Linked DNA regions of Caenorhabditis elegans. The protein of the gene in region 2 interacts with the protein of the main gene of each other region in a pairwise test. Each region holds a gene or a part of one and is shown on either strand. Other genes may lie near its edges.

What was found.
Region 1: the proteins of sdpn-1 (region 2) and ubc-15 interact in a two-hybrid assay, tested with the Caenorhabditis elegans proteins (one large-scale study listed by BioGRID).
Region 3: the proteins of sdpn-1 (region 2) and phat-1 interact in a two-hybrid assay, tested with the Caenorhabditis elegans proteins (one large-scale study listed by BioGRID).
Region 4: the proteins of sdpn-1 (region 2) and B0507.3 interact in a two-hybrid assay, tested with the Caenorhabditis elegans proteins (one large-scale study listed by BioGRID).

The regions. Positions count from the first base shown.
Region 1 is NC_003280.10:2,909,315-2,917,379, forward strand, and holds the start of ubc-15 (Ubiquitin-conjugating enzyme E2 J2), read right to left. Parts: upstream 4,290-8,065; 5' UTR 4,234-4,289; coding exon 4,222-4,233; intron 1,383-4,221; coding exon 1,117-1,382; intron 1-1,116. Other genes in the region: ncap-1 (NECAP PHear domain-containing protein), read right to left, coding at 4,608-4,617, 5,553-5,677, 7,920-8,021.
Region 2 is NC_003284.9:7,992,790-8,000,773, forward strand, and holds the start of sdpn-1 (SH3 domain-containing protein), read right to left. Parts: upstream 5,307-7,984; coding exon 5,290-5,306; intron 1,821-5,289; exon of another isoform or gene 1,572-1,820; intron 21-1,571; coding exon 1-20.
Region 3 is NC_003279.8:5,041,732-5,048,902, forward strand, and holds phat-1 (ShKT domain-containing protein), read right to left. Parts: upstream 3,990-7,171; coding exon 3,914-3,989; intron 3,868-3,913; coding exon 3,793-3,867; intron 3,749-3,792; coding exon 3,335-3,748; intron 3,153-3,334; exon of another isoform or gene 3,009-3,152; intron 2,965-3,008; coding exon 2,785-2,964; intron 2,704-2,784; coding exon 2,564-2,703; 3' UTR 2,467-2,563; downstream 1-2,466. Other genes in the region: C46H11.3 (putative actin-related protein 2/3 complex subunit 5), read left to right, coding at 1-28, 73-324; C46H11.7 (ShKT domain-containing protein), read right to left, coding at 464-603, 650-1,078, 1,122-1,196, 1,246-1,321; phat-2 (ShKT domain-containing protein), read right to left, coding at 4,747-4,883, 5,251-5,700, 5,743-5,823, 6,178-6,259.
Region 4 is NC_003283.11:8,765,243-8,772,900, reverse strand, and holds B0507.3 (Mediator of RNA polymerase II transcription subunit 15), read right to left. Parts: upstream 3,993-7,658; 5' UTR 3,983-3,992; coding exon 3,901-3,982; intron 3,855-3,900; coding exon 3,733-3,854; intron 3,299-3,732; coding exon 2,393-3,298; intron 2,348-2,392; coding exon 2,159-2,347; 3' UTR 2,028-2,158; downstream 1-2,027. Other genes in the region: srx-115 (7TM GPCR serpentine receptor class x (Srx) domain-containing protein), read right to left, coding at 1-222, 271-422, 961-1,002; B0507.9 (Protein containing ALS2cr12 (ALS2CR12) signature), read left to right, coding at 6,863-6,912, 6,977-7,091, 7,137-7,313, 7,425-7,583, 7,633-7,658.

The DNA.
Region 1 (8,065 bases), on a different chromosome or scaffold from region 2:
TAAAAATTTAGCCGATTTTCGATATTTTTCGGGTTTATTAAATTATAAACATTTTTCCTGACAAAATATGGCATTTTTGATAATTTTTAACGATTTTTCGCAAAAATCTCCCAACTTTGGAGTAATTTATCTAAAACTGACCGAGAATCTTAATTGTTAGACGAAAACTTCAAGTTTTTATAAGAATAAATGAATTTTTCCGTGAAAATCTACAAAATCGTCAAATTAGGCCATTTGTAGGTTAAACTTTTCAAATGCAAAACTGAATTTTTTACAATTTATTGGTTAAAATTCTGTAAATTCTGAGAGAATGGAATGTGAACTTTTTTGAATCAAAATCTGAAAAACCAAAGAAAATTGCAATTTTCTCAGAAATTCATCGAGAAAAAATGAATTTCCGGGTAAAAATCGATTTTTTTTGACGATTTTCAATGATTTTTATGTAACTTTTGAGCAAAAATTAATTTTTTTGACGATTTTCCTCATTTTTTCAGCAAAAAATTGATTTTAATCGCATTTTTTGGCCATTTTCCAACTTTTTTGTGCAACTTTCCAGCGAATATGTAAATTTAATCGTATTTTTGACCATTTTATACGCTATTTTCCAGCAAAATTTGGTTTTTTACCGCATTTTCTACCATTTTTCTCGATTTTTTCGATATTTTTCAGAAAAACTTGGTTTTAATCGTATCTTTACTGATTTTTCCGAATTTTTCAAAAAAAAAAATTAGATTTTTTGCATTTTTCGAGGAAAAAAAAAGGATTTTGTGCCGTTTTTGGCTGATATAATCCAATTTTTAAAAACAAAAATGACATTTTTGAACATTTTCAGCAAAAATCGATTTTAATCGCATTTTTCGACCAATTTCAATGATTTTCTTACAATTTTTCGGGAAAATTTAATTTTAATCGTATTTTTGGCGATTTCCAATGATTTTTATTTACAAAAAAGTTGGAAAATGGCCAAAAATGCGATTAAAATCAATTTTTTCTGAAAAAATGAGGAAAATCGTCAAAAAAATTAATTTTTGCTCAAAAGTTACATAAAAATCATTGAAAACCGTATTTTTTGACGATTTTTTTTTCGCAATTTTCGTGTCCGTCCGTCATTACTACCTTCCATTCGGTGTAATCATCGTGATAGCAGGTGGACTCCACGGGAAATTCTCCTTAAAAATCACTTTTCCCCAATAATAACCACCATAGAATGGTGTATCCGGTGATCCACGAAGGCAATAATGCCATTCAAGAATATTATCCTCATTTGGAAGTGCTTTAATTCCATCAACAGGATCTTGCATCAGTTTTGCGTAGTCTTTTTGGAGGCGTCGAACGGCTGAGCTGGATGCTGTGCCAGCTGCTGGTACGGATACGCCGGGACCCTGCAAATAATTGGGAATTATTAGGGTAAAAACACCCAAAAAAAGTAGCGAAAAATTGAAAAATTTAGGGGTTTTTCCATTTTTATAGTGGAAAAATCGAATTTTTTAAGAGTAAAAACACCAAAAAATTAGCCAAAAATTGAAAAATTAGTGGAAAAATTGAAAATTTTTGGTTTTTTTGCCAGAAAATTGGGGGTTTTTTGGAGAAAATTTGAAATTTTTGGTTTTTTCCAGAAAATTTTTTTAAAATTTCGAATTTTTTAGGGTGAAAACCCAAAAAATTAGCGAAAAATTGAAAATTTAATTTTGTGAAAAAAAAAGTGAAAAAAATCATTTTTTAAGCCAAAAATTTCCAGTTTTTCCGAATTTTTGCTCCGAAAACTGTCGTATTTTAGCAGAATTATTAAAAAATTCTCTGAAAAATCGATGAAAAAATTAGGATTTTTGGCATTTTTGCCGCGAAAAATTCCAATTTTTCAGAAAAAAAAATCCAAAAAAATGAAATATTTACTGGAGGAAAATTATAAACTTTCAGAAAAAATCAATATTTATTTGTTAAAAAAACAATTTTTCTGAAAAATTCAACATTTTCGAAAAAAAAATCTAAAAATCAAAATTGATCTGTTTTTCCTCCAAAAAATTCAAAACTATAAGAAAAAATTAAAAATTCACTTTTTTTCAGAAAAATTGATTGCTTGGTTAAAAAAATTGAGAATTTTTAGGGTAAAAACCCAAAAAATTAGCGAAAAATTGAAAAATTTAGGGGGTTTTTCAATTTTATAGTGGAAAAATCGAATTTTTTAAGGGTAAAAACACCGAAAAATTAGCCAAAAATTGAAAATTTTTGGTTTTTTTGTCAGAAACTTGGGGTTTTTTTGGAGAAAATTTGAAATTTTTGGTTTTTTCCAGAAAATTTTTTTTTTGTAAAGCTTGAATTTTTTAACAGAATTTTTTGATTTTTTCAGAAAATTTCGAATTTTTTCAGAAAATTAAAATTTTTTGATTAAAAAATTGAATTTTTAGAGTAAAAACACCCAAAAAATTAACCAAGAAATTGAAAATTTTCGGGGGTTTTCAATTTTATAGTGGAAAAAATTGAAAATTTTGGTTTTTTTTGAAAAGTTTGATTTTTTAACAGAAATTATTGATTTTTTCAGAAAATGTTGAATTTTTTATGGTAAAAACCCAAAAATTAGCCTAAAATTGGGCAATTTTGTGGGTTTTTCCTGAAATTTTCGGGGAAAATTGGAATTTTGGTTTTTAAAATAAAACATTGATTTTTTAAGAAAATTTTGAATTTTTTCAGTGAATTTTTAATTTTTTTTAGAGTAAAAAACCCAAACAAAGTAGCGAAAAATTGAAAATTTTTGGTTTTTTTGCCAGAAAATTGGGGTTTTTTTGGAGAAAATTTGAAATTTTTGGTTTTTTCCAGAAATTTTTTTTTTTGGAAAGCTTCAATTTTGAACAGAATTTATTGATTTTTTCAGAAAATTTCGAATTTTATAAAATTAAAATTTTTTGATTAAAAAATTGAATTTTTTAGGGTAATAACCCAAAAAATTAGCGAAAAATTGAAATTTTAATTTTGTTAAATTTCCAATTTTTCCGGATTTTTGCTCCGAAAACTGTCGTATTTTAGCAGAATTTAAAAAAAATTATCTGAAAAATCGATGAAAAATTAGGATTTTTGGCATTTTTGCCGCGAAAAATTCCAATTTTTCAGAAAAAAAAATCCAAAAAAATGAAATATTTACTGGAGGAAAATTATAAACTTTCAGAAAAAAACAATATTTATTTGTTAAAAAAACAATTTTTCTGAAAAATTCACCATTTTCGAAAAAAAAATCTAAAAATCAAAATTGATCTGTTTTTCCTCCAAAAAATTCAAAACTATAAGAAAAAATTAAAAATTCACTTTTTTTCAGAAAAATTGATTGCTTGGTTAAAAAAATTGAGAATTTTTAGGGTAAAAACCCAAAAAATTAGCGAAAAATTGAAAAATTTAGGGGGTTTTTCAATTTTATAGTGGAAAAATCGAATTTTTTAAGGGTAAAAACACCAAAAAATTAGCCAAAAATTGAAAAATTAGTGGAAAAATTGGAAAATTTTGGTTTTTTTCGATAAGCTTGAATTTTTTGAAAATTTTTAATTATGTTTTTTTTTTATTAGTTTTTTTGAAAAGTTCGATTTTTTAACGGAAATTATTGATTTTTTCAGAAAATTTTGAATTTTTTTATGGTAAAAACCCGAAGAATTAACCAAAAATTGGGCCATTTTGAGGGTTTTTTCCTGAATTTTTCGGGGAAAATTGGAATTTTGGTTTTTAAAATAAAACATTGATTTTTTAAAGAAAATTTTGAATTTTTTTAGAGTAAAAAACCCTAAAAATTAGCCAAAAATTGAAAAATTGGGGGATATTTGGTTTTTTAAACAGAAAATATTAATTTTTTCTGATAGTTTTGAATTTTTTTGAGGAAAAACAGATCAATTTTGATTTTTAGATTTTTTTTTCGAAAATGTTGATTTTTTTCAGAAAAATTGTTTTTTTTAACAAATAAATATTGTTTTTTTCTGAAAGTTTATAATTTTCCTCCAGTAAATATTTCATTTTTTTGGATTTTTTTTTCTGAAAATGTGGATTTTTTCGCGGCAAAAATGCCAAAAATCCTAATTTTTCATCGATTTTTTAAAAATTCTGCTAAAAAAAATCCGAAAAAACTGGAAATTTTTGGCTTAAAAATTGAAGTTTTCCACATTTTTTTCACAAAATTAAATTTTCAATTTTTTTAAATGAGAATTTATAATTTTTAATGATTTTTCGTTTAAAAAAAAAACTCACCAAATTCAGCATTTTCACCAGATAATCGATTCGGTTTCACCAAGTTTTTGGCGCCCCAAGAGAGTGATCTGGACGGAAAATTTGATGAAATTAACCGAAAATTGGCGAAAAATAGATAAAATGCGGTGAAAAATAACCGTTTCCGGGGAAAAAATAGCAAAAAATCAATAAAAATGACTGAAAATTGTCCATTTTTGACGGAAAAAATCAGAAAAAAGCAGGGAAAAATCACAGAAGCTATTAACAATTAAAAAAAAATTCGAAAAAAAAATGAAATGGGACAGGAAATTTCAATAAATTAGCGATGGAAAGCGTAGAGAAAAGGTGGAGAGAGAGAAGTGAAGAGACGCAGACAGTTGTACGGAGAAGAAAGATGACGTCATCGCTTAGAAATCTCTGAAAATTTGGGGATTTTTAGTCGGAAAAATGGATTTTTTGGGGAAAAATCGGGATTTTCTAGTGAAAAATCACGAAAAACTGGAATTTTGTGTTAAAATCAGTGATTTTTACTCTAAAAATCACTGAAAAACTGATTTTTTGGTTGAAAATCCAATTTTTTTCGATTAAAAATCAAATTTTTGGCTCAAAAATCGGAATTTTCAGTCTAAACTCATTTTTAAACGGGGTTTTTTTGGAAAATTTCGAGTTTTTTGGCTGAAAATCCAGAATTTCAGGGATTTTTAGCTGAAAATTGACTGAAAAACGATAATTTTCAGCGGAAAAATAAAATTTTTGGTCTAAAAACAACTTGATTTTCTAGTGAAAATCCAGTTTTTTTTCAGTGAAAAAGTGGAAAAATCTATATTTTTTCAGGCAAAATTAGTGATTTTTGATCGAAAATTGATTTTTAGTCTAAAAAAAAGTGTTTTTTTGGCAAAAAGTTCAGGTTTTCACGTAAAAAACTAAAAACCTCAAATTTTTGGCTTAAAAATCGGAGTTTTTGTCGAAAATGCTGTGTTTTTCTTGTGAAATAGCACTAAAAACTGAATTTTTACCCCCGTAAATCCACAGTTTTTCGAGTAAAAATAGAAAATTCAGGGATTTTTTGTGTGTGAAAAATTGAAATTTGGCCATTTTTCAGAATTTTTGGCCTTTTTAGGCGATTTTCGGCCTTTATTAGGTAATTTTTGGCCTTTTTTCGGTGATTTTTATTAATTTTTAGCGGGAATTTCCTCAAAATTTGAGATTTTCGGCGATTTTCAGATAATTTTTGGCCGTTTTTCGGTGATTTTTAGGTCATTTTTCAGAATTTTCGGCCAATTTTGAGGATTCTTTGGCCATTTTTTGTGAATTCCATCAATTTTTCACTCAAAAACGAGCAAAAAACTGACAATAAATTGCCAGACGTCGCCGTTGTGCTCGTCGAAGAGCTCGGAGCCGGCGGTGGAGCAGCAAAAGCAGAAGACAGAGAAGATGAAGCCGTAGTGGTGGTGGTGGAAGGACGAGAGTTTCTGATCTGAAAATTGGGGAAATTTTAGTCGAAAATATACAAATTTTAGAGGAATTTCTATGATTTTTGAGTGGAAAACTCGAATTTTTGAAGAAAAAAAGTTGATTTCGAGCAAAAATCCGTACTTTTATCGCATTTTTTGACTGAAAATTGCAAATTTGGGCTTAAAAATTCGAATTTCAGCGTTTTTAGCTACTTTTCGGAAATTTTATGCGAAATTCTGACGAAAATCATAGTTTTTTGGCAAAATTTCGACTAAAATCATGAATTTTCGAGTTTTAAAATCGAAAAATTCGAATTTTGTGGCTTCAAAATGGCAAATTTCACGAATTTTTCAGATTTAAACCGAAAAAATGGGGTTTTTTAAGATTTTTTTCTCAGAAAATCGCAATTTTTTTCAAAAAACTCGAAAAAAGCATAGTTTTTGGTGAGAAAATGTCTAAAAACCCAATTTTTTCGGCCAAAAATGCGATTTTTCAGCCAAAAATCGCTGAAAATTCGCGAAAAAGCACGGTTTTTCGGCAATTTTTTTTTGGAGAAAAAGGCATATTTCACGAACTTTTGAGCAATTTTTTGAGTGAAAAATTCGAATTTTCACTATTTTCAGCTACTTTTCTGAAATTTTATGCAAAAAATCTGCCGAAAATCAAATATTTTTTGGTAAAATTTCGACTTTTTTAAATCGAAAAATTCAAATTTTGCGGTTTGAAAATGGCAAATTTCACGAATTTTTGAGATTTAAACTGAAAAAATGGTTTTTTTTGCATTTTTTATACAATTTTTTTCAAAAAGCTCGGAAAAAAACCCTTTTTTTGGAGGAAAATTGTCTAAAAATCGCGCGAAAAACACACAAAAATGTGGGAAAAAGTGGAGAATTAGAGAAGCAGACGGAGGATTTTCAGAGAAAAAAAAACCAAAGAGGCGCAGAGATTCCGAACGAAATTCGTCACCAATTTCCATGGAAACTCTGAGCAAAAAGTGGAAAAAATTGCACTTTTCAGCAATTTTTAAGCTAAAAATTGGATTTTCCGCGATTTTAAAGGTTAATTTCCGATAATTTAGGCTGTAAATTTCAATTTTTCAGCCAAAATACTCGAAAAAATCAAAAATTTCGCCGGAAAAATGCTGAAAATTCGATATTTTTTGAAGTTTCAGTCAAAAATATCGGTTTTTTTAGCATTTTTCCGGCCAAAATTCAGCTGAAAATCACATTTTTTCCACAAAAAAGTCAATAATAATCTTGTGATGAGAAAGATAAGAAAAGTGGTGAAAAAATGTCAATTTCCAGCGAATAATTGGGAAATTTCCTCAGATTTTATACAATTTCAACACTATTTTAGGCTTTTTCAGCCAAAAAATCAAATTTTCGAAGATTTTTAGTGAAAAATTAGCAAATTTCGGCGATTTTTCCACAGAAATCGACCAAAAAATCCAAAATTCAGCGAAATTTTTAAGATTTTCGGCTAAAAATTAACGAAATTAGCTTAATTTTTATCCAGAAAATCGATTTTTTTCAATTTTTTGGAGCAAAATACTCAATTTTTACAGAATTTTAAAGATCTTCAGATGTTTTTTGACTAAAAATAAATTTTTTTAGCCGAAAAACCACTGAAAATTCAGTTTTTAGCATTTTTTTTCCAGATTTTTCCACTGAAAACTGATTTTTAAGCCATTTTTTCCAGATTTTCAGCTAAAAATCAACGAAATTAGCTTAATTTTATCCAGAAAATCGATTTTTCCCGATTTTTTGAGCAAAATACTCAATTTTTTCAGAATTTTCGAGATTTTCAGTCAAAAATTAACGAATTTAGACGTTTTTTAGCTGAAAAACATGCAATTTTTCAGATTTTTCCACTGAAAACAAAAAAAAAACGATTTTTAAGCCATTTTTCCCAGATTTTCACCCAAAAATCACGGAAAATTCAGTTTTTCCGGCAATTTTTCAGATTTTTCAGGCAATTTTCCAGATTTTCAGCTAAAAAATAACGAAATTAGCTTAATTTTATCCAGAAAATCGATTTTTCCCGATTTTTTTGAGCAAATTTTCAAGTTTTTCAGCTAAAAATTAAGGTATTCAGACATTTTTCAAATGAAAATCTACTTTTTTAGACGAAAAACCACTGAAAATTTAGTTTTTAAGCCATTTTTCCCAGATTTTCACCCGAAAAATCACGGAAAATTCAGTTTTTCAGGCAATTTTTCACATTTTTCAGCCATTTTTTCCAGATTTTCAGCTCGAGCTCCGTACCATTGAGCCGGCACCTGGCGGCGGTGGAAGCAGTGGCACTAGGCCTCCAGTAGATGCTCCAGGAGCCGGACGAGGGCGGGAAACTGCACTTTTATCCTTTTTCTGCAAGAAAATTAGGGTAATTTTCAGAGATTTTCAGTCCGAAA
Region 2 (7,984 bases):
CCAACACGTCAGCCGCCATGCTGAAACAATCAATTAAATGTATCAAAAGCGAGAAAAAGTATGCATGACTGCACGGAATGAGGCATCGAAGTGCATAAGAAGAATGAAAGACAAGAAAGAAAATAAACTGATAAGGAAAAATATTATTTTGCAATTATCAAACAACGCCTCGGTTTAAAACTTGCTTGACTATTTCAAATATTTCCACAAAAGTTTAATATTTTGCGTTATCTTCTTCGCATTTTCTTTCCAGAAAGATTCAGACAAGATAAGCAGGTGGGACTTTGTGTATAGGAAATGTGCAGAGAAAAGGTGTGCATAAAGATAATCCAGGCTAATTGAACAGCGGCCTTCACCTATATTTCATTAAATTCATTTCAATGTGAATATGAATGTTATGGAATAACACATTAGATTTCGCTAGTTCTAATCAGAAGATTGTTACTCGGCAGCACTTTTAAACAAAAATCGCACACGATGTCTTATGACTTGATGTGTGAAACAATTGTAGACGTTGCTATGATATGAAAAGTCTCACGAGAGCCGGTAGAGCGTTAAAAAAAGTTATAAAAAGAATGGAGCCACGAAGAAATGAGAATATTTAAATTGCAAAATGTTCGGGAAAGGTGGAAAAGGGGAACAGAGTACGGCCTAATCGTCCTTCGGCGCACTTATGCAAACACCAAACCGCCACTAGATGACCTGATTTTGGAGCCGGCAGGTTGCGCGACCGAGGGCCAAAAAATTACTGGTCAGGAGTTTTTGTTGCAGGAAAATTGAAGTTTCAAAGATATAGTGTTACCAAAAAAGTGGATGGCAAACGGGTAAGAAGAACCGTTGGCAAATAAACCGGGCAGGTAAGTGGTCCTTTGTTCAGTGACTGAAGTTTGGCCGTGAACTAATTTTTTCTGCCGTTTATGAAAAAATTTCGAATTCAGGAACGAAAAAAAGATGTATGCCATTTTGTGTATAAGAAATTTTGCGATGACTATGTCCAACAAAAAACTTGCAGCATTGGTGAGCACAATGAGTACATCGAGAATTAGCTAGAAAGTAATTTTAGTGCTCAACACTGAGAGTAATATAATTTCTAGAAGTTCATGTTTTTTACATCAGTGGTTGGAGAATAAGAAGCGTTGAAAATTTAGTTACACATCAAAAAAAGCTGCTTGAAGTTCTATAATTTATAAACCTAAAAATCGAGAATCAGTGAATTCGTCGATTCACATGACGTTTGATATTTTCGAAAAAATATTTTATTTTTATTTTATTTTGACTAGATATGGTTCATTTTCAATCTTGGGGACTACTGTATTACTTCGAACATTCTTTAATTTCAATAGAAACTACGTCATTCAATTTACCAATCACTATTTTTGACTACACATAATACACGCCAATTAAAACGTATGAATATATAAAAAGATTTGTGACAAAGTCTGGAAATGAAAATGGAAATGAAATGAACACGGAAATTTTTTTAGGGAAAAAAGGAAAACAAGACGATTTCTCAGAGGACTTCGCACATTGTGTTAATTGTTCAATCTTCTCGCTGACCAGCGGTTGTGTTTTTTTAGCGGAAAGAGCACTTTTGCGCGAATTGAGCTTCCAAAAACAGAAAAAGGAAATAGAGATGACAATGAGTTGAACAAACGAACAGACCGCACATGCAAAAAAAGAGGAAAAGTTCATTCGGGCAAGCCAGAGCGGCAGCGGTGGGAAGGACGAGCATCTTGCGAGACTGTAAACACGATTTGTTTGCAGGACATGGAAGACGACATACAGTTTTAAAAACAATGGGACAGCCAGAAACACGTCGGCCAAATGCAAGAATCGGAGGATGAGAAACGAATTTTTGAGGCAATCCATGAGCCCGCAACGAGAGAGGAAGAGCAACCAAAACAGAATAGGTGGAACTAGAGACAGATACATTTGGGCGCTGCCGGCTTACAAGCAAAGCAGAGTCCGCTCGCTGAGGTGACTGTATGAGAAGGATTACACGAAGGCTTTAACAGAAACAGGAGCCAACACCGGTGTTTGTGTTGGTGGGACATGTGGCTGAGAAATGCATATGGAACGACTTTGGAAGAAAAAAAACAATACAACCAAAGACTGAAATATAACTAAAACTGTAGGTAGGGAAAATTGAACTTCGGGAAAAACAGAAATTGTTTTTAAATTGTTTATTTATATGTAGAAAACATCTGAATGTGCACTACATTTGTCGTTTTCTTTTTTTTTGAATTTTTGACCTAAAATAATTCCCAAAACTGACACAAAAATATAATGTAGTGAGACAGTTTTGACATACGGGAAATATTTGTTATTTTTACAAGAATACAATTCTAGAACACAAAATTAAGTATAGCACCCTATGGCGAAATTTGAAAAAAAGTATTTGTTTTGATTTTGAAAAACAGGGAATCAAAATTTGAATTCAAAATTCCATACAGGAATATGAAACCTTGACAGCTGATTGGTGAAAAGAGTGAGTGAAAACCGAATAAAAACAAAAACATGTATTCATCCGTTGCTTAACGTAATTGAACAACGGACTTTTTGACCAATGTCCTAGAAGATTGCCTAACAAGTTACTAATGGCATACACTTGAAAGACCAACACTATCGGAAAATATGTACAAGTTAAAGCGACCAGAATCAGATTCCATTCTAACGCAACTTATTTGATAGATATGAAGACCTAGTTTTAGTTAGAAGGGGACCAGTGTCTGAACATTTTACGGAAGAATATGGAAGGAATGTGTTGTCCTCGAAATAGGCAGCCCGATCTCTCCTTTTTCGTCAATTTCTTCGGTTACTTTCTTGAAAAAGTGCACGCTGTATTAATAAACGCAGATTTTGCGAACGGATAAAGAATTTGCATAGGTCATACATATACAGATACACACTCACTCAATCGCATACACAATGTTCTAATAGAACATCGTAAAAAGGTGTGAGAAGTGGAGAAGGTGAGGTGAGACTAACAGTGAAACAGAAGGTGGATGTGATGAAGAAACGATGAAAAAGTCGTATGGGATTCTGTTTCACTCCTTAAGCAGAAGAAAAAGAGGAAGCTTCATCTAATCCAACCGAAATGAATGATTTAAATGAAATTAACCGGTTTTCAAGGTTCCAGGGAAGATAAAAGTGCCCCGCCAGGAAGAGAGTACTGATATGAATTATTATGGGAATTCTGGTGACAGTGACATCATTATCAGGAGTTGGGCAGTTGGAACGTAGTCAATGTTGTTTGTTTTTTTTCTTGTAAATATAACATTTTTTTGTAAACAAAACAAGTTATTATTAGTGTCATTTAAAACATTGAGCTAACTTTAAATTCGAACAGTCTACATGATGACTGTGAACAATAAAAGAAAACACTGTTCAGGGTTAACGAGAATTCCTAAAAGTAAAAATTTCCAACAAAAAAAGTGGTTTTTGAAGATCTACGGATTTTGAAGCAATGTTTTATCAAAAAATGTTCCCGTTTTAAACTCAAAGCGTTTCAAACATGCATTCATGGCTTTTTTCATAAAAATTACTGGCGAAATATAGTTTTTAAAATTTTAATTTCTCAGCTTTGAGAATGATTAATTAGGACTTGCTGGTTTTTGGCTATGTACGGTGTAAGGAGGATTAAGTTCTTAGGGAAATAAAATGCAAAAAATCTACAACAGATATTTAAAAAAAAAAAGAAAAAAACTATAATTTAAAATTCTGACAACGACTAATTCTCAAAAAAATGTATAAATATGAATTTGTGAAAAAAAACGCTTTTTTCCTTAACATTTTTACAAGGAATAGGGAGTCTTAAAAATTTTCAATTTAAAAATTAAAAACTAAAATCTAATTTTTATAGATATAACACTTTTTTTAAACAAGAACGAAACACAACTTTCAAAAACAAAAATTACGTGTAGTTTCAAACTAAACAAATATATAAATTTTCGCGTACTTCTCGAAATATGATGTTAATCGCATAAAACACGACTCAAATTACTTACTTCTAATTAGCAACTTTGTAAAGCTATTCATTTCTGTGGGAAAAATCTCAAAATAGAAACACATACGACAATAGTGGATAACAGGGTTGTGATTACCTTAATTGTGAGTACTACTCCGTTCGGAAGGACTTAGAAACAAGAAATGAATAGAAGTTGATTGAGCGAAGGGATGCCAAGTGGACATGTAAAGGATATTCGCTTCTTATGTATTCTTAGTGGTTCGTTTGCCTAATTTGCAAAACACGTGCGGCTCAAACAGGCATTGCTAGTGAGTCACATATCTAACATGTTTTCAAATGAAAATGAGAAATTTCAAAATGGAACATAAACGAGTATCATAAATCAATAGGCGCCAAGTAGCGGGGCATGGTTTGAAAATGTTGAATGGTGATGGTGGAGAAATGGGTGGTGGAAATGGTTAGAGAGTACGAGACGTAGGCGAAATAGCTACACCGTGATGAGAGGTGAACTGCCAGCTGGTGCACAGATTCGATGGTTTATTATGTTAGTTTGCTTTCTTGCCTGTTGATATTATCCTAAGCAACAAGATGATCCGTTAATACTTGTTTTTTCATGATTGATATGGAATTGCATCAATTAAAATGTAGTCAGGTTGATGAACAAGTCGAAAAAAAAAGTTAAAAACATCATAGGAAGAGTCTATAGGAAGAAAAATTACAAACTAGTACTGCTGTAAACTTAAGCTTGCAAGCAAAAAATTGCAAATTCTGAGGGCTTTTAAAACATTCGTAACTTGCCTTGAGTAGCATCTTACTTGGTTGTTTTTTTTAATAGACATAGGTAATTTTCGAGGTGAGATATTTCTGACAATTACAAATGCGGCAATCGAAGTTTTGTCAATTGGCGAAAAGATTTTAAAACAGCAATGTCTGAACATTTCTGGAGATTTCAAAACGTATAAACGTATTTTGTAGTAAAATATTCGCTTTTCAAGCTTGATGTGTCTTGAATTGATAGGTATTTGACGGAACTTTAAAAATGAACAATTATGTCAAGGTTAAATGTTAAACTGTTTGAAATATGACTGAGGTTGAAAACTGCCGAAAATTCTGACAGTCAACTATGTATATGGGGAATTTCGAAAATCTTCACCCTTGCTTTTAGGTAGGTTTACTCGAAACATTTTTTTATGATAGATTTCTTGTGAAAAAAAACGTATGTGTTTGATTAAAAATTCAATATTATTCGGATACTTATTGAAAGTAAAAACACAATTAATATTTTTGATTAACAGAAACATTAACAGGCAAAATCTACTCACCATGGTAAACAGCTCATGTTTTAATAGATCGACGATTCGAGTGAAATAGACGAATGGAGCAACAGAACACGGGAAGTCAAGAGAAAATAGTTGGGAAAGAGTGAGAAACGTGATCAAAAAGTCTTTAAATGTACACTGTCAATAACTGATTAGGCGAGTGAGAAAGTGTGTGTTGGCGGGCAAACTCAAAGGTGTGGGGCAATATTGTTTGAGCGGTTGTTCAACTAACAAATATACATGGACTTTAAAAAAAAATACAGAGAATTGGAAAAATAGCTTTAAAAGGGAGGAGTTTTGAAAGTACTGATAGTTTTGAGTTTGCTGGAAACATTGTTTTAAAATAAATTAAATTTAGAAAACATAAAAATTAACGGTTCCTAAGAAAAGTCTCAAAGTTGCACAGCGTTAAACATATATTAGAAGTATTCATAGAAATTTCAAGCCACTTTCTATCTGTGAATCACTTTCAGCAAGATCAAGACTTAGGAGGATATCCAGCACAATCAAATGGTACTCTCCTTATTATTCGTAATTCACTTTTGATAGTTTCAATGAAAGGAAAGTGAAGTGAAAGTCAATGGTTTTCGGAAGCAAAGTGTTTGAAGTATCTAAGAGCTTCCAGGTGGAAACGCGAATGCCTTTTTTGTGACGGATGAGTAATTGTGAAACGCAGACTACTCACGGAAACACGATACATGGCGATGGCATTGGAAGAGGGCGAACGGTAAGAAAAAAAAGATGCAAAAAGAGGTGAAAACTAGACATTTTCAATATGCTGGATTGAATTCCTATCCTCACTTTGTTACCACTTGGCAGCTGAGATGCCAATGACTTTGCTTCCTTTTTCCTTCACCCCCCCCCCCCCCCCCCCGAGGACATAGGTAGCAGGCAATTATAGAAGACGAAAACATGGGTGATGATGATGATGACGATAATGATGGACGGATAGAGGGTGAAGGACAATAATAAGACGCAGAGATATAGGAGAGTGGAGTGAAAGAGCACGACTGTATAAATATGAGCTCAAGAGCAGTTTATGTGCTGGAGCATGACGAGCTCTTTCGAAAAGAACGCAACACCCTCTCCACGTTTTCGGCAGAAAAGAGTGACAGAAACAAAGAGAACGGTCATAAGCACGAGGTAACTGTTTTTACATGGGATCAGCGTTTGCACGTTGGTACGGATTACAGTTGGTACAACTGAAGATCAACACGTTCCGATGAACAATTGATCATCTAAGAAGGTTCAATAGAACAATACAATGCGGTGGTGTTGGGCAAGGGAATATATAATCAAGTGAGAAAACATTTAGGTGATCTGGCAAATTTGACTGCATTTGAAAAATGATACTTTGTAAAGAACTTATCCTAATATTTTTGTTTAACAACGCCGCAACATGCAAGCGTTTTCTTTGCTGAATGGAATTTTGTTTATAATACTTTCTGCACTTTTTTTTTTGAAATTCGTATCTTAAACTGGAATTGTAGTTTTTAGCCAGTTTATTTTGAAGGAAGTGCCTAATCTGCAATGTAAAGACAATTTTTTCGTGATTCATCATGAGTTGTGTCAGCATAAATATTTGTATTACAGCAGAAAAAGCAAAAAACCTGAGCAAACTCAGATTGTTTGGTTTTTATGTTGATCAACTTTCACAGAAATTTAATTAGATAATAGGTTAAAGAACGCACTCCTGAAAATCTGAAGATTCTCTTTTTCCCATTTGTACTGTACTAGTCTTTTTTTTCGAGATAACATCTGAAAGAAGGCGTCTGCTAAACGATTGTAATGGTGTGACGATTTAGGTTTTTTGGGTGAGTAGTTACCATCTTCAGACTTCCATCGACCAATTTAAAATTGAAAGTTGGTTTCAAACTGAAAAAAAAACTGGAGGAAAAACTAGATATTAGAAATAGTTCTTGAAATGTTTTCTGGCAATGAAAAATAGGGTTTTTGATTGAACTTGAACGTTTTTTTTTTTGAAAGAAGTTAGAAGTTGCAACAATTTACAAATAGCTATGCTGCTGTAAGAAATATTTTATATTTGGTTTTTTGTAAAAGAATAGGCACTTGTGAATTATGACCACAAATTTTTAAAATGTTTTGGTAATTTCGACATATTGTTTTTCTTACACTCAAGAAATTAAAACAAATCATAGCGTTTTCATTTAAAAATTAAAATTTTGAAATGAACATTACCAAACAAAAATTGGTAATTGGACAGATTTAAAAAGTTGTAGCTCAGTCTATGATTTTGGACGTACATTTTTCAATTTATGCAACTTGAAATACGCCCAGTAAAGTTTTGTTTAAAAAGAGTTTAAAATGTTTGAAGTTTTTCAGAAGTCGGGAAATTGCTGGTGCTCCCATTGGATTTCCATTTCAGCAACTTTCGATGCAAGAAAAGTGACCGATAATCCATTTGTACATTGCTCTGCATTCTATCGAAGACTGTGTACACCTTGGAATGCAAGGTTTGGTTTGAAATCGTAATTTCCAGATTGATAACATTTACCTTCTTCTTGTTAACTGTTTATTCTACTCAGTTGAGCATTTTTCAGTCTAATGTAGTTTTATGTTGTTCTCTTTGTTTTCCTTCCTTTTTTCTCACATAATTACCATAATTTGTCTCATGTTTCTTGTTTTAAATAGCCTCAAGCCATTTTCGTGTTGGTCCATTTGCTCTAAGCCGTCCCTT
Region 3 (7,171 bases), on a different chromosome or scaffold from region 2:
AAACCCACCATTTGGTCATTCTGAACAGGTTTTATTTTTTAATGTCATTTTGCAAACCTCTTTCCCTTTTAGGAACTCAAGAACCGTGCTGTTCTCCTTGTGGCCGAGGTTATTCATGCATTTCGACAGACCGATATTGAAGAATCAGTTCACAAGCTGTCAAATGAAAATGGAGACATTCTGATGAAGTATATTTACAAAGCAATGCAACTATGCTCTGATTCTGCCACGTGTCTTTCTCTACTATTGTGGCATTCTCAATTGGTATCAAAATTTGGGCAGGGATCCATTGTTCGAGTGTTGTCCAATCGACAACGTCTCTAATTTTTTAATGAAGGTACATGTATCTGTTAATTTCTGCAATAAAACTCCAAGATCCAAAGTTTTTTATATGAAGAAGTTCAAATTTACAACAACCAAATATATTAGGAAATAAATAAAATGATTCAAGAAAAAATGAAGATTATCCAGAAGTGCAGAATCCGCAAGTGAGTGGGCATTGAGCTCTCATAAGGGTTGCGTAGGCAGAATTGGTACAGAATGCACGACGGTTTGGACAATCGGAGACTCCTGTAGCTGCGTTGACTTGGTCAACACAGGTGGCTGAAAAGTTCAGACATGGAACGTTATGAACAATTATTAATCTTACTTGAAGCTGTTGTGGAGGAAGATGAAGTTACGGTAGAGCTTGAGTTACATCTTCCACAAGTTCTTGGGCATTGTTGAGTCATGACGGCATAGTAGACTGAATCATTGCACAAAGAAGCTCGTGCAGTACAATCAGAAACTCCGGTGGATGGGTTTACAAGATCGGCACAGCTAGTGGAGCTTGTGGTAGTTGAGTTACAACGACCGCATGTTCTTGGACATTGTTGAGTCATGACTGTGTAGTAGGTGGTGTCGTTGCAAAGATAGGCAAGTGCTGGACAATCAGAGACCCCGGTAGATGGATTGAGGCGATCAGCACACGAAGTTGTAGAGGTTGAGGTTACTGTAACTGCTGAAGCAGTTGTGGTTACTGTAGATCCATCAGAATCTGTTACCACAGCAGCAGTGGTTGAAGTCACAAGGGGAACGGCTAAAAATCATAGGTCACGGTTGAAAGAACCTTGTTGACTTACTGGTTACAGGACAACATTGACCAGCTGCCACATCACAGACCTGTGTCTGGCACACAAGAATGCCACCGTCACATGCTGAAATGAAACAACTCAAACTCTAAAAGTAATGGCAGTCTTTACTTACGTCCTTCAGATTCAGAAGCTTCGCAAGCAAATGCAACCGAGAAAATGGCAAATGAAATAATGAATTGACGGAACATGATAGAATGATGGTTATAGTTCTGCAGCAGTTGCTTTTATATTGTGAGATACTGTCCATCTGTGCAAACAGTTGTCTCTGTTACATTTTTGGAAACAGAATGACCATTGTTTTACATGGAAAAGTACCTGGATTGAAAGCAAACATTTCAATCCTCTCTGCATAACAATTGCTTCAAATTTAGTAAAATGCCCCTCGTAATTAACAAAGGAACAGTTATGATTGAAAGATTTTTATGAAATCGATCCTTACTTTCACGCAGTTCCATCCAATAAAAATATAATTTTAAAGTTTACCATTCTGGGAAAGACAGTTATCTTCTGAGAAAGTATTTTAATTTCATGTTGTTCGGTTAATCCTTAGAAGCAAATTGAAATTGGTTATTGTTGGAAGGACAACACTTCCATCAAAAAATGTATACAGTTTTAGGAGATCGTTGCAAAAATTTTTCACCAAGTTGTTCGGATAGATCAGCCCAATTATAGTTTTGACTTGTAAAATCTTCTTTAGAATTCGATCCTTTCTTTATTTTATTTAAAGCCGATGATCTTTAAAACCACCTTCCCTTTTGAAAAACTTTTGAGAGCACGGCAAAGGCAAATTATTTTTTGCGATAATGTAAAAGTACAATACAGACTAACTTAAGTGAGTGTAACACAGGATTGAGTCAGTCAGCGATAATTTTTTTCAAAACATCATCAGAGTTTCTTTTTAATTAGAACGCTTTTCGTTTTCATAGTTTTTTTTTTAATTTCCTGTATTTTCCGAACATCAATAATTTTTACAGGCGCTGATAAAGTAATTAATTTGTGGGAGCAAAATAGACGTATAGGTACTCCAATGGGTGCTTCATTTCATTTTTAATAAGTTTTTAAATTTTTAAATTATAAATTTAATTTTTTTTAAAGTTCTAGTATGTAAGTCAGACTTTTGTATAAAAAAACAATCATTATAAGGTGAAACTCAACGAAAAATTATTGACGCCAGATTCATTTAAAGTTGTCCAAAAAAGTTTTAATTATTAATTCAATGAAACAAAATAAAAATTGGATATGTTTTCAGAATGTTTGAAAATGAAAAAATAAATATTTTATTACATTTAAAACATTGAGATGTTTTGTTTTGAAATCGAACTTTCTCAAAATCTAAATTATTTAAATTATTTTATTTACTTTAGAATCATAAATCACAAAAACCAGACGGTGCATAAATTAGAGATAAATTATTTCCACAAACACAAAAATTATCCAGCAGTACAGAATCCGCAGGTAAGTGGACATTGGGTACGCATAAGGGAAATGTAAGCGGAGTTGGTACAAAAAGCACGACGATTTGGACAATCGGAAGTTCCTGTAGCGGCGTTGACTTGGTCGACACAAGTGGCTGAAGAGGTTTAAGTATCTTAGTTGTCGTATCACAAACAGTAGAATCAATCAGCTATAATTCTTCAGAAATAAAACTTACATGAAACAGTAGTAGAAGCTGATGACGTGGCAGAGATAGTTGAGCTTGATGTGCATCTTCCACAAGTTCTTGGGCATTGGGTGGTCATGATGTCATAGTAGACTGAGTTGTTGCAAAGAGAAGCACGAGCTGGGCAATCGGAAACTCCAGTTGTTGGATTGACACGATCAGCACAGGTGGCTGAAATTTCCTCAGTTAGTGCAAACGAAAATATAAGAAAAGCTAAGGCAAACAAAGCAAGCATATTAGACAGAAGCAGGTAAAAAAAGCTACAGCTGATCAGCGAAGCAAGAGGCAACTGCCACCTACTGGAATAGCTAGAAGTACTATTTGTGGAGCATCTTCCACAAGTTACCGGACACTGGACTGTCATAAGATTGTAATAAGCTGCGTTATTACAAAGTGCGGCACGAGCCGGACAATCAGATCTCCCGGTGGATGGGTTAGAACGATCGGCACATGTGGTGCCTGGAAATTTAAATTGTTGTCCTCTGTTTCAAGAAATCTAACTCTAATTAAAGAATCACGTTCCAGTTTTCAGCGAACTTACTGGACGATGAAGTAGTCGAAGAAGAAGTGGAGCATCTTCCGCAAGTTCTTGGGCATTGAGTGGTCATGAGTGTGTAGTAGTTGGAGTCGTTGCACAAAGCAGCACGAGCTGGACAATCGGAAACTCCGGTGGATGGATTAACACGATCAACACAGCTAGTAGAGCTTGTTGAAGTAGAATTACAGCGACCGCATGTTCTTGGGCACTGCTGGGTCATGACTGTGTAGTAGGTCGAGTCGTTGCAAAGGTAGGCAAGAGCTGAACAATCAGAGACTCCGGTAGATGGATTGACACGATCAGCACACGTTGTCGTGGAGGTAGAAGTTACTGTAACTGATGATGCAGTTGTGGTTACTGTAGATCCATCGGAATCGGTCACAACAGCAGCAGTGGTTGAAGTAACAGCGGCAGCAGCTAGAATTTCAAAGGTCGCTGTTGAAAGAATCTGTTTCACTTACTGGTAATAGGACAGCATTGACCAGCTGCCACGTCACAGACCTGTGTCTGGCACACAAGAATGCCACCGTCACACGCTGAAATAAAGTATTTATTCTAAATGCGATTACAGTTGTTACTTACGTCCTTCAGATTCAGAAGCTTCACAAGCAAATGCAACCGAGAATATGGCAAATGAAATAATGAATTGACGGAACATGATAGAATGATGGTTATAGTTCTGCAGCAGTTGCTTTTATATTGTGAGATACTGTCCATCTGTTCAAACAATTAACGTTGACCATTGTGCTATAAGTCTTTGAAATTGAAATAATGTGATCAAGAAGTTTAGATACCGTTCGTGATGGAAGTTTATGACGAAATAGCTAAAAAGTATCGCTTGTGGCAAATGTTTCAACAAAAGAGTGCTGAAATTATTAAATTTAAATTACATATATTTTGACGTAGAATGTGTATCTCGGGTCTGCAGTGATCGATTTTTTGCTGAAAATGCCGTCAAAATAATTATGCAAATAACGGCTATTATGACAGTTTTACAAGCTTGCAAAAACCCCAGAATACAACTTTAGATTGTAGGAGTTGAGCTTAACTTTTTGAGATAATCTAGTAGAAAAATTGGATTTTCAAAAAGAGTCTGTAAGTAACGTTTCTTTGTAAGTTTTTCAAGTAAAAGTTTTTTAAAGTTTTATTTCTTGTCTATCTGTTTTTATCGCAATATTCCATATTTTACAGTGGCTATCCACGAGCTAAAGGCTGTTCAAACATTTCAGCTCTGTTTCAAAAATAACAAAATTTTCGCAGAACAATGCGCGCATTGTTTTTATATTGGTACAACCAACCGGCGTTTCGGATACTATTTGAACACATTTCTTCCCGACTCGCAGCGTTTTATTATAAATTAAAATGAATTGGACACATTATTACACAATTATTACTAATCGTGATGGCGAAACAAATTATCCGGATGTACAGAATCCGCAGGTTCTTGGACATTGAGCACGCATGACGGATTGGTAGGCTGAGTTGTTGCAAAGACCAATGTTGGATGCACAATCAGATCTTCCGGTGGCTGGGTTGACTCTGTCGACACATGCTGGAAGATTTTCAAGATTGGTTTTAGAAAGTAACGAATGCTTGTGTTATTGTTGAAAATCTATGGCCGTACATTTTTTAGATAATACAGTAGATTGTTTTACCTTAGAATCGGATGTTTCAGATTTTTTTGGACAGTTGTTTTCTCTTTTTTTAAATAAACAAGTAGTTAGTTTCGTCTAAAGTTGGGGAAAGGTTGGCTGGTAGTTTTGAGTCATTAAAAACTCGGACTTTTTATTTGTGATATTTGGCCATGTTGCAATTAATATGAAAATATTTGTACAACTAAATTTTGCTTAAATTTAATACTAAATCAAGCTCCAACCGTTAAAATCAGTTTTAACACTTTTATAATTTTTCCCACTTACTTCCGGAAGAAACAGTTGCGCTGGATCTAGTGGTAGAAGATGAACCGGAACTTCCACAGAATCCACAAGTTCTTGGGCATTGAGTTCTCATCAGATCAATGTAGTTGGAATCATTACAGAAAGAACGCAGGCTTGCGCAGTCCGAAGTTCCCGTCTTTGGGTTCTTCAAGTCAGTGCATGTACCAGTTGTAGGTGTGCTAGAGAATGATGAGCATCTTCCGCAAGTCTTTGGACATTGTTGAGTCATGACGTCAAAGTAGTTGGCATCGTTGCAGAGAGCTCTTCTATTAGCACAATCAGAAGTTCCTGTAGCTGAATTGACACGATCAACGCATCCTGTTCCAGATGAAGTGCGGGAAGTGACAGTGGATCCACTACGGATAGTCGTGGCAACAGTCACAGTGGATCCCGAAGCGTCGGTGACAACGTTAGATGGAACCACAGTGGTGACTGAAAAGGGAAATTTAAAATTTACTGATTCCAGAGACTTACTGAGATCCGCATTGAGACAGCAACTTAAAAGAGTAAGATCACAAGTAGATCCAGTTTCACAAGGCAAACCAACATCGCATGCTGAAAAAATGTTTGGATTAAAGAATCGAATTTGAGCGCGAAAAAAGTGTTACTCGACCAATGACATTAAGGCGTGGTCAACGTCATTGATTGGTCAAAAGTTTCAAAAATCTAAAAATCTAAAATTGCGCCCTTCTGCTGGCTTTAATTTGAGAGTAAATTTCCCAGAAAAACTTTTGGAAGTGTTCAAATTTGAAGCCTGTGCGATAGTTTCTTTGTGAAGGGTCTTGAAGCGAGAGATGTCTCAACGAATAATCTCAAAGTGGAAAGCCAGTATGCTAATTAAGTCCCAATTACTGTATTGCTCGTATTACTGTAGGGGCAAATGATTATTAATTTTCAAGTAAAACATACGTGCAGTAATTCTGTCTGGGCTACACGTTTGCCCGAAAGCGACAGCCAAAAATGCTCCAACTAGGAAAATAGACTTATTCATTGTGTATCAAACGAAATGATTTGATGATTTATCTCGATTTTCACCTCGTTTATATAGTACACCTTTTGTTTCCCTGCGTCTCCTGATTTGCACGGTCTTGTATGTGAAAATCCGACAATCCGCAGGTGAGCAGATGCACAAACAGTAGCCATTCTGTAACATTCTGAAAATCCATTACAATGGACAATCGATCACTTGATGATCTATTTGAACAGGGTTTTGTATTGTTCTGGTTGTGGTGGACAACTGATTTTCTTTGTGACAATTGTGTTCGTTGAAATTTTCATTTGAACAATGAAAAATTTTAATTTTTTGCTCAAAATTTTCTAGTCACATTTGATAAGACTAAAAATTTGTGCTAAGTTTAAATGTATGTACTAATGATTTCACTGATAAAACAAGAAGCAAAGAATACGGTTTAATTGAAAATTTCCAATACAATTTTTTTCAGTAATGCAACAAAAACTTAAGTTCTCTCGTATCTCGTATTCAATGCTAGCATGTATGTTCGGACAAAATGTTTTTTTTTAACCTGTTCTTCTCTGTACATTTTAGGATATGCAATTTGATGCACTTTATTTTCTATATCAAACGGAGAAGTATGTAAAATTCGAAACTTCTCGCAACCACTGCAAATGAGTTAGTCGCGAGACCCATTCAAAAAATCACTTAACGTGAACAACCAAATTTAAAAAATTACGATAGGCACCAATACCTGCCCGTCTTTGAAGCAACCTACGCCTGCTTTGAAAACATTGTTCATAATTTATTTCATAATAAATTGCGGAACTCATAAAGGGGGACAACGAAAAACTTCACTACCGCTCAAAATATATAGTTCAGAAAGTCCTTAAAAAAACCTTGTTGGAATGTTAATCTGCCTTCTAACCCGCTTTATTCCGCATTTACGGG
Region 4 (7,658 bases), on a different chromosome or scaffold from region 2:
GCGGGAAGTGACATCAAAATTGCAATACACCATAATCCACCTAATAGTATATTTGTCCAGGGAACTCTGTGTTGTTTATTAAACGAATAAGGAAATGAAATTGCAACTGCTCTGTTAACTGCTAGGCTTATTTGAGTAAATGGGCCTGACATTAAATATGGGGCCCATCCAACTATTTGGCCGAAGAATACGTTAAATTGTTGTGGGAGATAATAATCATTTCTAAATTGTGAAAGTTTGTTCGAAAGTACATATATTGCGAACACTCACAGGTAAGCACAGGGAGCAGCCCATATGAGGAATGCCGTAGCGATGTGCACATTTGCAACAGATTTATTCACACATATCTTATTGAATCCTTCTCTTTCGCGAAACATTCTGGAAATCACCATTCCATTGAGAGTTATGTCTCCAAGGCTTAACTGAAAAGTTATTCATAAAAATAAGTTTTTAAGTAATCTTATCTATTGAGAACAGAGGTGGGCGAATATTTTTTCGGATATTTTCTAATAATGAATTTATCAATAAGTATTGATGCAGTTATTCTGGAAGAAATGTATCCGAACCAAAGAGTAACTATTAAGCAACATTTTAATATGATAAAACCTAGAAAAATTCTACAAGTTTTCCTTACCGAGACCTTAAAACTTATTAGCCGAGCAACATCGGATATCGGATATTACGGATATTACGGATATCGGATAATGGACTTGCATATCGTTTATACAGAAAACTTGTAGAATTTTTCTAGGTTTTATCATATTAAAATGTTGCTTAATAGTTACTCTTTTGTTCGGATACATTTCTTCCAGAATAATTGCATCAATACTTATTGATAAATTCATTATTAGAAAATATCCGAAAAAATATCCGCCCACCTCTGATTGAGAACTTCTTGGAGAAATTTTAATTCGTGTGTCATAATAGATAAAGAACGTTTTCTCGTTTTGCAATACTTACCAGCACCATAATCGTTGCTGCAATATACCGGAATTCTATCATGATCGACTATAGCCTGCCACTGAAAATTATAGAAATGAGAAATAATGATCTGAAAAATGCATATTTCGGTCTAACGTTGGTTCTCACAATTATCTTTTTCAATGAAATTTATTATTTTTTAGGAAGTTATGCGAGACGGCTGAAATTTTTCACAGAAAGATCAGTTCATTCTGCTGATACATGAAAATCGAATTCTCTGTGAAGGTGGGAGGTATAAAAGTATAGCAAAAAAAAAGTTGTACCTAGTTGGTCTTCAAGCATCGCCGAACTCAATGTTATTTATCTAAAATATTTTGGAATTTATCTGTGCTTTGAGTAGCTAAATGGGAGAGTCAAACTAATATTGACCTAGATACGTGAAAATTTAAATTATGAATTGAGCTTTTTGAAGTTCGTTTTTTTTCAGAAAAAAGATGTACGTGTCAATAGAGATATTGAAAGGTTTCGAGAACTTTTACTTGATTTTCTCTTGCTTTTCTGTTGAACAGTTTGAAACATAGTTAAAAGAAAACCGGAAACTATCGAATTCAACCTTCTACTACTTCTGGAAAAGTGGCTCTAGGGCCACCAGAAATACGATTTTATGGAAAAGTGGCTCTAGGGCCACCAGAAATACGATTTTATAGAAAAATAACATAAAATCTTGAGCGTTAGACAACGTTAGTTGAATTGTCAAACTGCAGTGACAATTAAATTCCATTCATTACGCTTTATTGAATACGTGGAAAAACAATACAAAATAACAAATCATTGTTTTGAGAAAATTAGGATTTTTTGGAAAATTGGGCGTTAGGGTTTTTCTGGAAATAAAGCAGTAATCAGTTTCATTTCACGACAAAACACAACATGTTTACAGAAAACTTGACAGAAGTAATCAAAATTCACCACTAATTCACCATTGTGTTTAACTTCATTTAACCTTTAACCCTTTTTGCTTAATTGGCAGTCCACGCAGGGCAAAAAAAAAGAGAAGACGGGCAGACAGTTTCACTAAAATAATATCTCCTGGAAAAATTATTATTAACTATCACAGATAACTTTATCTCACAGTCTTTTACAGCAATATCAACAATAATAAAAACGAGATCACAATTTTGGAAAAAATGATGTTTGATTAGAAAATAAAATATACATCCTCAGAATTAAAGGCTAGTTATCATTGACATCTGCATGGCATCTGACCGCAACGACATACAAGTCTCAGGGGTAAAGCCATTGAAACTACGGACCATTGATTGCAAGCACGAGTCATTGGAACTAGAAATTGTTTGGTAGGATCCATTTGAGGTCCATTGAGTGGAACTTGAAGTGAGAGTTGGGGAGGATGCTGAGGAGGCGGTGTAACCTTAAAAATTATAGTTATTTTCTATATTGTAGAAGTTGATCTTACTTTCTCCACGGGTGGGGATACCGTTGTTTTCTGTGAGACAGAACTTGTTTTGGCAGGGAGCTCCACTTGTGGTACGAGCACTGGTGGGGCTGGAATCGGAGTAGATGGCTTCGATGATTTTTGAACCATTGCAGGATTTGGTGACATCATTGCTGGTGTAGGGATGACTGATGGAGTACCTGCTAGTACTTGTGGAGTACTCATCAGATGGAAAAATGGATTAGGTTGTTGGCGGATAACACCTTTCTCCTTCAATAAGACAAATGGATGACGTAAGTAATCATGAAGTACTTCATCAGTGACACTTCCGTTGTGAGCGGATGATATGTAGGAAAGAAGTTTCCTCTGTTTGTCTTGTAAATCATTCATCATTACTTCCGCTGATTGTGCAAACTGTTTCGATGGAATTGTATTTGGAACATGTGGAATACGGGGCTGTGCAGTTACACTTGGAGCAGCTTTTTCTTTTTGTTCCTTTTCTGTTTTTTTCGTGGATTCTTTTTGCTGTGGAGTCGATGCAAGTGCAGCGACCGGTTTATTTGATGCGTCTAAAGACGGAGTAGGAGCTGGAGACTTTTTTATCGGTTGCTCTTGTGATTGAATTTCCATTGGTACTGGAGCAAGTGAAGCCGGTGCAACTTTTAAAGGCCCCGTAACCAGAGTTGGAGGTGGAGGAATAACTGGAACTTGAAATGAAGAAGGTGCTATTGAAGTTGGATGACTGTGAGCTTGATTTAAAGTTATCAGCTTTGACATGTTCAGAAGCATTTGCTGATCTTCTTGAATGCATCGTTTTATTTGTTGGTGGTCCAATGGTTTATGTTCAGTTGGACATGGTGATCCTGTTGATGTCTTTTCAGAAACTACTGGTTTGCTTATGAGTGACTCGATTCGTTGATGGTATTGCTGAAAATATCTCAATAAAGTCATCTCCAAGAAAAAATCTAAAATATTGTATCCAGCAGTTAGTTTTTTGAATATTTTATCGAGATTACAAGTTTCGGCAGTTAACTACGTTATACTGTATTCAGTACTTTTTCAACATGTTTCCAAATCTTGGCACTACGCCAGAAACTGATAAGAAAACCGCTGACACTGCAATGTTGCATATGCAACGTGGCTCTTTCGAAACATTGTGCAGAGCATGATATCTGTGTGTGCTTTGATCATATTCATAATCACTGAAAATCGATCATAATCAAACAGTTTCACGGACACTTTTTGTGAATTCCGTGAAATTCTAGCAAGGTGTCACTCCGTGCGAAAGAATATTTTAATGCAAGAAATTGTTTGATAATGTCATATCATGTGATAAGAAATAAAATATTTCCGGAACTTACTTTCAATCGCTGAAGTCTAGAGATCATTTCATCAAGGAACGAAATGCGTTGCGAAGGTTCCGTGCAATTCAACGCGTTTAATAGATTTAGAAAAAGGACATCCATAAAACTGGCAGGTGGCTCTGAAATTAGAAATTCAATTTTCGAAAATCAACTCAAACAACAAACCTAGAGTTGGTGGAGCTGAAATTTTCATAGCGGGCACATCCACGCTGGCGGAAAGTAGCCTTTTGCGAGTGGCTAAATCCATTTTTGAACCACTGAAATTAAAAATGTTGAAATTTAAGAATGTGAAAAATTGCGCACAAAATATGAAAGAAAAAATAAGTATGACTAGATTCAAAATGAGGTGGAACCGGAAAACCTTATGATTGTGTCCATAAAATGCTGGTATATACAAAAATTTAAGGCAGTCTCTGGGTATGATTGACTGATTTGGAAACTGATAAGACTATATCAGTTGTTGTAGACCGTTGTCAACTGATTGTAGATAGCCTCAGGGCTCTAAAAATCTTGACTAGTGATAAGAAAAATTGGCGTTGCTGTCAACATCAAAATCATGTTCTTATCACAGCGAAACTCTGGTGCAGAGTGTAAATGGAACAGAATCGAACCGAGCAACACAATGTGACAGAAACTGTGTTTGTTTGCAGTAAAAAGTGAAAATTTTCAAACTGGAGAGTTACCTCTTATTTCTGCGCCATGGTGTAAATTTAAATAATATATCATAAATTGAAAACATGAGACATAATTTAAAAGTCTTAAAATAAAAAAGTTTTTCCTCCAGACATATAAGTGAGGGATTTCAAGCTGTTCAAAATATTTCCTTTTACTTTGTTGAAGATGAAACAAAAAAAAATCATTTTTCGTGCAGAAATTATTTAAATTTTACAGATTTTTTCGAAAAGCCAGTACACAACGGTTTAAAACGAAATACCATGTTGTTATCAAGTTAACCTTTCAGTTCTCAAACGATGACATTAATATTCTTTCCGCGTCAAAAGTTTTCTGGGTGATTAAAAAAGAGACAGAAAAAAGTGAACATGCTCAGCGATAAGCTGATTGAAATTTTGTTGAGGTTACGATATTGTCTTGTGTCTTGTGAAAAGTTTGCTAAAAACTTTTGTATCCTGATGTATGAAAAAAGTGAGAAAAATTTTAAGTTAGTCAACAATTTCAACTTCATTCATAGGCACAACTGAGAATTTAATTAACTTGTATTCCACAATTGCTGGATGTGTGAGCATTCAAACATTTTTGATTTGAAAATAATGCGATTGAAATAAAAAAGAATTGAACGAATTAACATATGAAATTATTCCGCACGCGATATGTATTCATAAATTCTAGAATTTTTATTGTTCTGTTCAAATCATTTCCACTTTCAAAATGTATTGAATCTGTCGTTGATACTCTATTCTCTTATCACCAAAAACTTGTTCATCTTTATGACTATCACTTGACTCTTCAGGTAAACATTGAATGTATTGAATACTTTGAATGCTCTTATCAAATTGTTTTCATCATCCTGAACCAAAATAATTCCTTACCGACGCCACCTACCTGATTGTTCCACAAATTATTATAAAACAAAGAGAAAGTTTTTCAAGAGGAGCACTAAAAAGTCAAACTCGTTCTATAAAAAAAGTAAGAAAAAATAATTTAAATTGTGTTGTTTGTGTAGGTTTGGTTAGTGTATGTGTGTGAAGCTGTAGGTTTGGTTAGTGTATGTGTGCAATTGAGATGAACCGACGACGATCGGCCGATAAAAAATGTATGAGGTCGGGCCAGGGGAATTGATACATAAAATATGAGCTAGTGCGCATTTAGAATGAATCGAATTTCATTCAGCTCTTGTTTTTTTGTGAGCTGCTCAAAAATTATTAGCAGTAGGTGAGATGATGTTGGTACTTCTGTTTGGGCCGTTAATATATAATGGAATCGTCCATTTGTTGTGATGAATGTTGTCGGATTGGGAAACAATATTAAAATAGCGTGGAATAAATACACTGAATTTCCAGGAACTAATACTCCAATATTTGTAGGAGGAATACAGATCGACGATTGATTAATTTTGATTGAATTTGGTAGAATAACACTTTACAAATAAATATTACTATTATGGTGCATATTATATATTTGGATAAAATCTGAAAATTACAGAAACGTTCAGCCGGCGTCATTGATATGTCAACGTTCCAGTGGCAAAAACATACAACATTCATTGCGATTAATCACTTGAATTGAATTATCCAGAAATGACTGTCTGTAACCGATCCGTGAAAGTCATTCAACTGTTTTTTTGCAAATGTAGCGTCCTTGTCATGCCAACGTATAATGTGCAATATTCTTTAGATTTGTTTTCCGTTTAAATTGACTCAATTTATTCAGCAAAGCACTTTAAAACAATAAGTTGTAACCTCTGTTCATGATTACGATCTAAAAAACTCCATTAAAACGTTTTCTGAATTCTCCCAAAATACCATCATGGTTTCACTGGGTTCAACGATAACTTATCGAATGCAAAACCTAGCGGTGCACAGCTTTCAACAGTTTTCGGCAACCGGCAATCTCCTTACTTGATTTCCAATAATTTCTAAATCAACCAATAAAGAAATGGTAGAAAAAGAGTTTGAAATATTTTGCTAATTGACAGTTTTTCTAACAAACAAAAACTAAGATACGTGTTGTCAAAGCTAACAAATAAGTTGTAATACTATTCGAGGAAATACAGCATATAGATTTTAATAATTTGTGGCAAAAATTTCACATTAAAAAAAATGTCTCTCACAATCAAACTATTCAGAGTTTTTCAGTAATTAATTTCAAGTAAAGTCTTCAAAGGTTTGAGCAATTGCCAAAACTTTCAGAAACCAACAGTTACCTGAATTGCCGAGTGTCCAAAATGCTGGATTTCATCACTCCCCAGCCATTCCCTCCCTTTGTTTCAAACAACACCAACAACACTTGCTAGTTGTAGTTGAAAGTGTACGTTATCTTTCTCCATGAGACAAACAAAATAAATATGAGGAAGAAAGAACCACTTTTCAAGTTCATGTCGTTTTTTATTGAATATTTGATTTCTGTAAGTTTATTATCCCTACAATAATTTGACAAACGAACAGTCGCAATGGAGACATCAATTTTTGATGATGTTGAAACCAGAATAGACAACAATGAGTGAGTGCAAATATGTTACACAGTATGGTCGTATTATGAATTTCTATTATTATTGAAATTCCAGAATTATTGCTCAACAGCATGCTGAAGATCTATTTGAGCTTTACTTGAAAATTCAAAATGCTGAAAAGGACAGTGTTATTGATATCAGAAAAGAGGCAAGCGCCGATCATGAAGAGGTATTCGTTTGTTAACAATTGCTAAGTTAGCAGTGTATCTTACAGATGTTATGTGAGCTTCGCAATGATTTGAGCCAAGTCATGAAAATGGGAATGGTGAATCTTTCAATGCAAATTATTGCTCAAGAGAGAAACAACCGCAGAAAAGTTAATCAGCATATTATCAACATAAAATCGAAGACAGAAGAAATTGACAAGTTTTTCCAGCGAGCAATTTCTGTGGTTAGTATCATTTGTAAAATTGCCACGTCTAGAAAAATTTTATCTTACTGCGTTTTCACTAACTGTTTCGAATAATATGATTTTTAAAAAGTTATTTTCTGCTCGTTTCAGCTTGGTGCACCGCCAGGCTATCCTGCGAAAAAGGAAGAAAAAGCGAAAACTAAGAACTATTTGATCCAGTTTGGAGAAGTTCTTCTTTCAATTAGTACGATGGTCACTAATCTGGAGCAAAGCTTGGCTTGTTACGAACTAAAAGAGGTTTTGATGAATGTAAGCTCGAAATCCGTGTGCTAACACAAAACGTTATCCCAAGTTACAGGGCATGATCAGCCAAATCCGAACTCA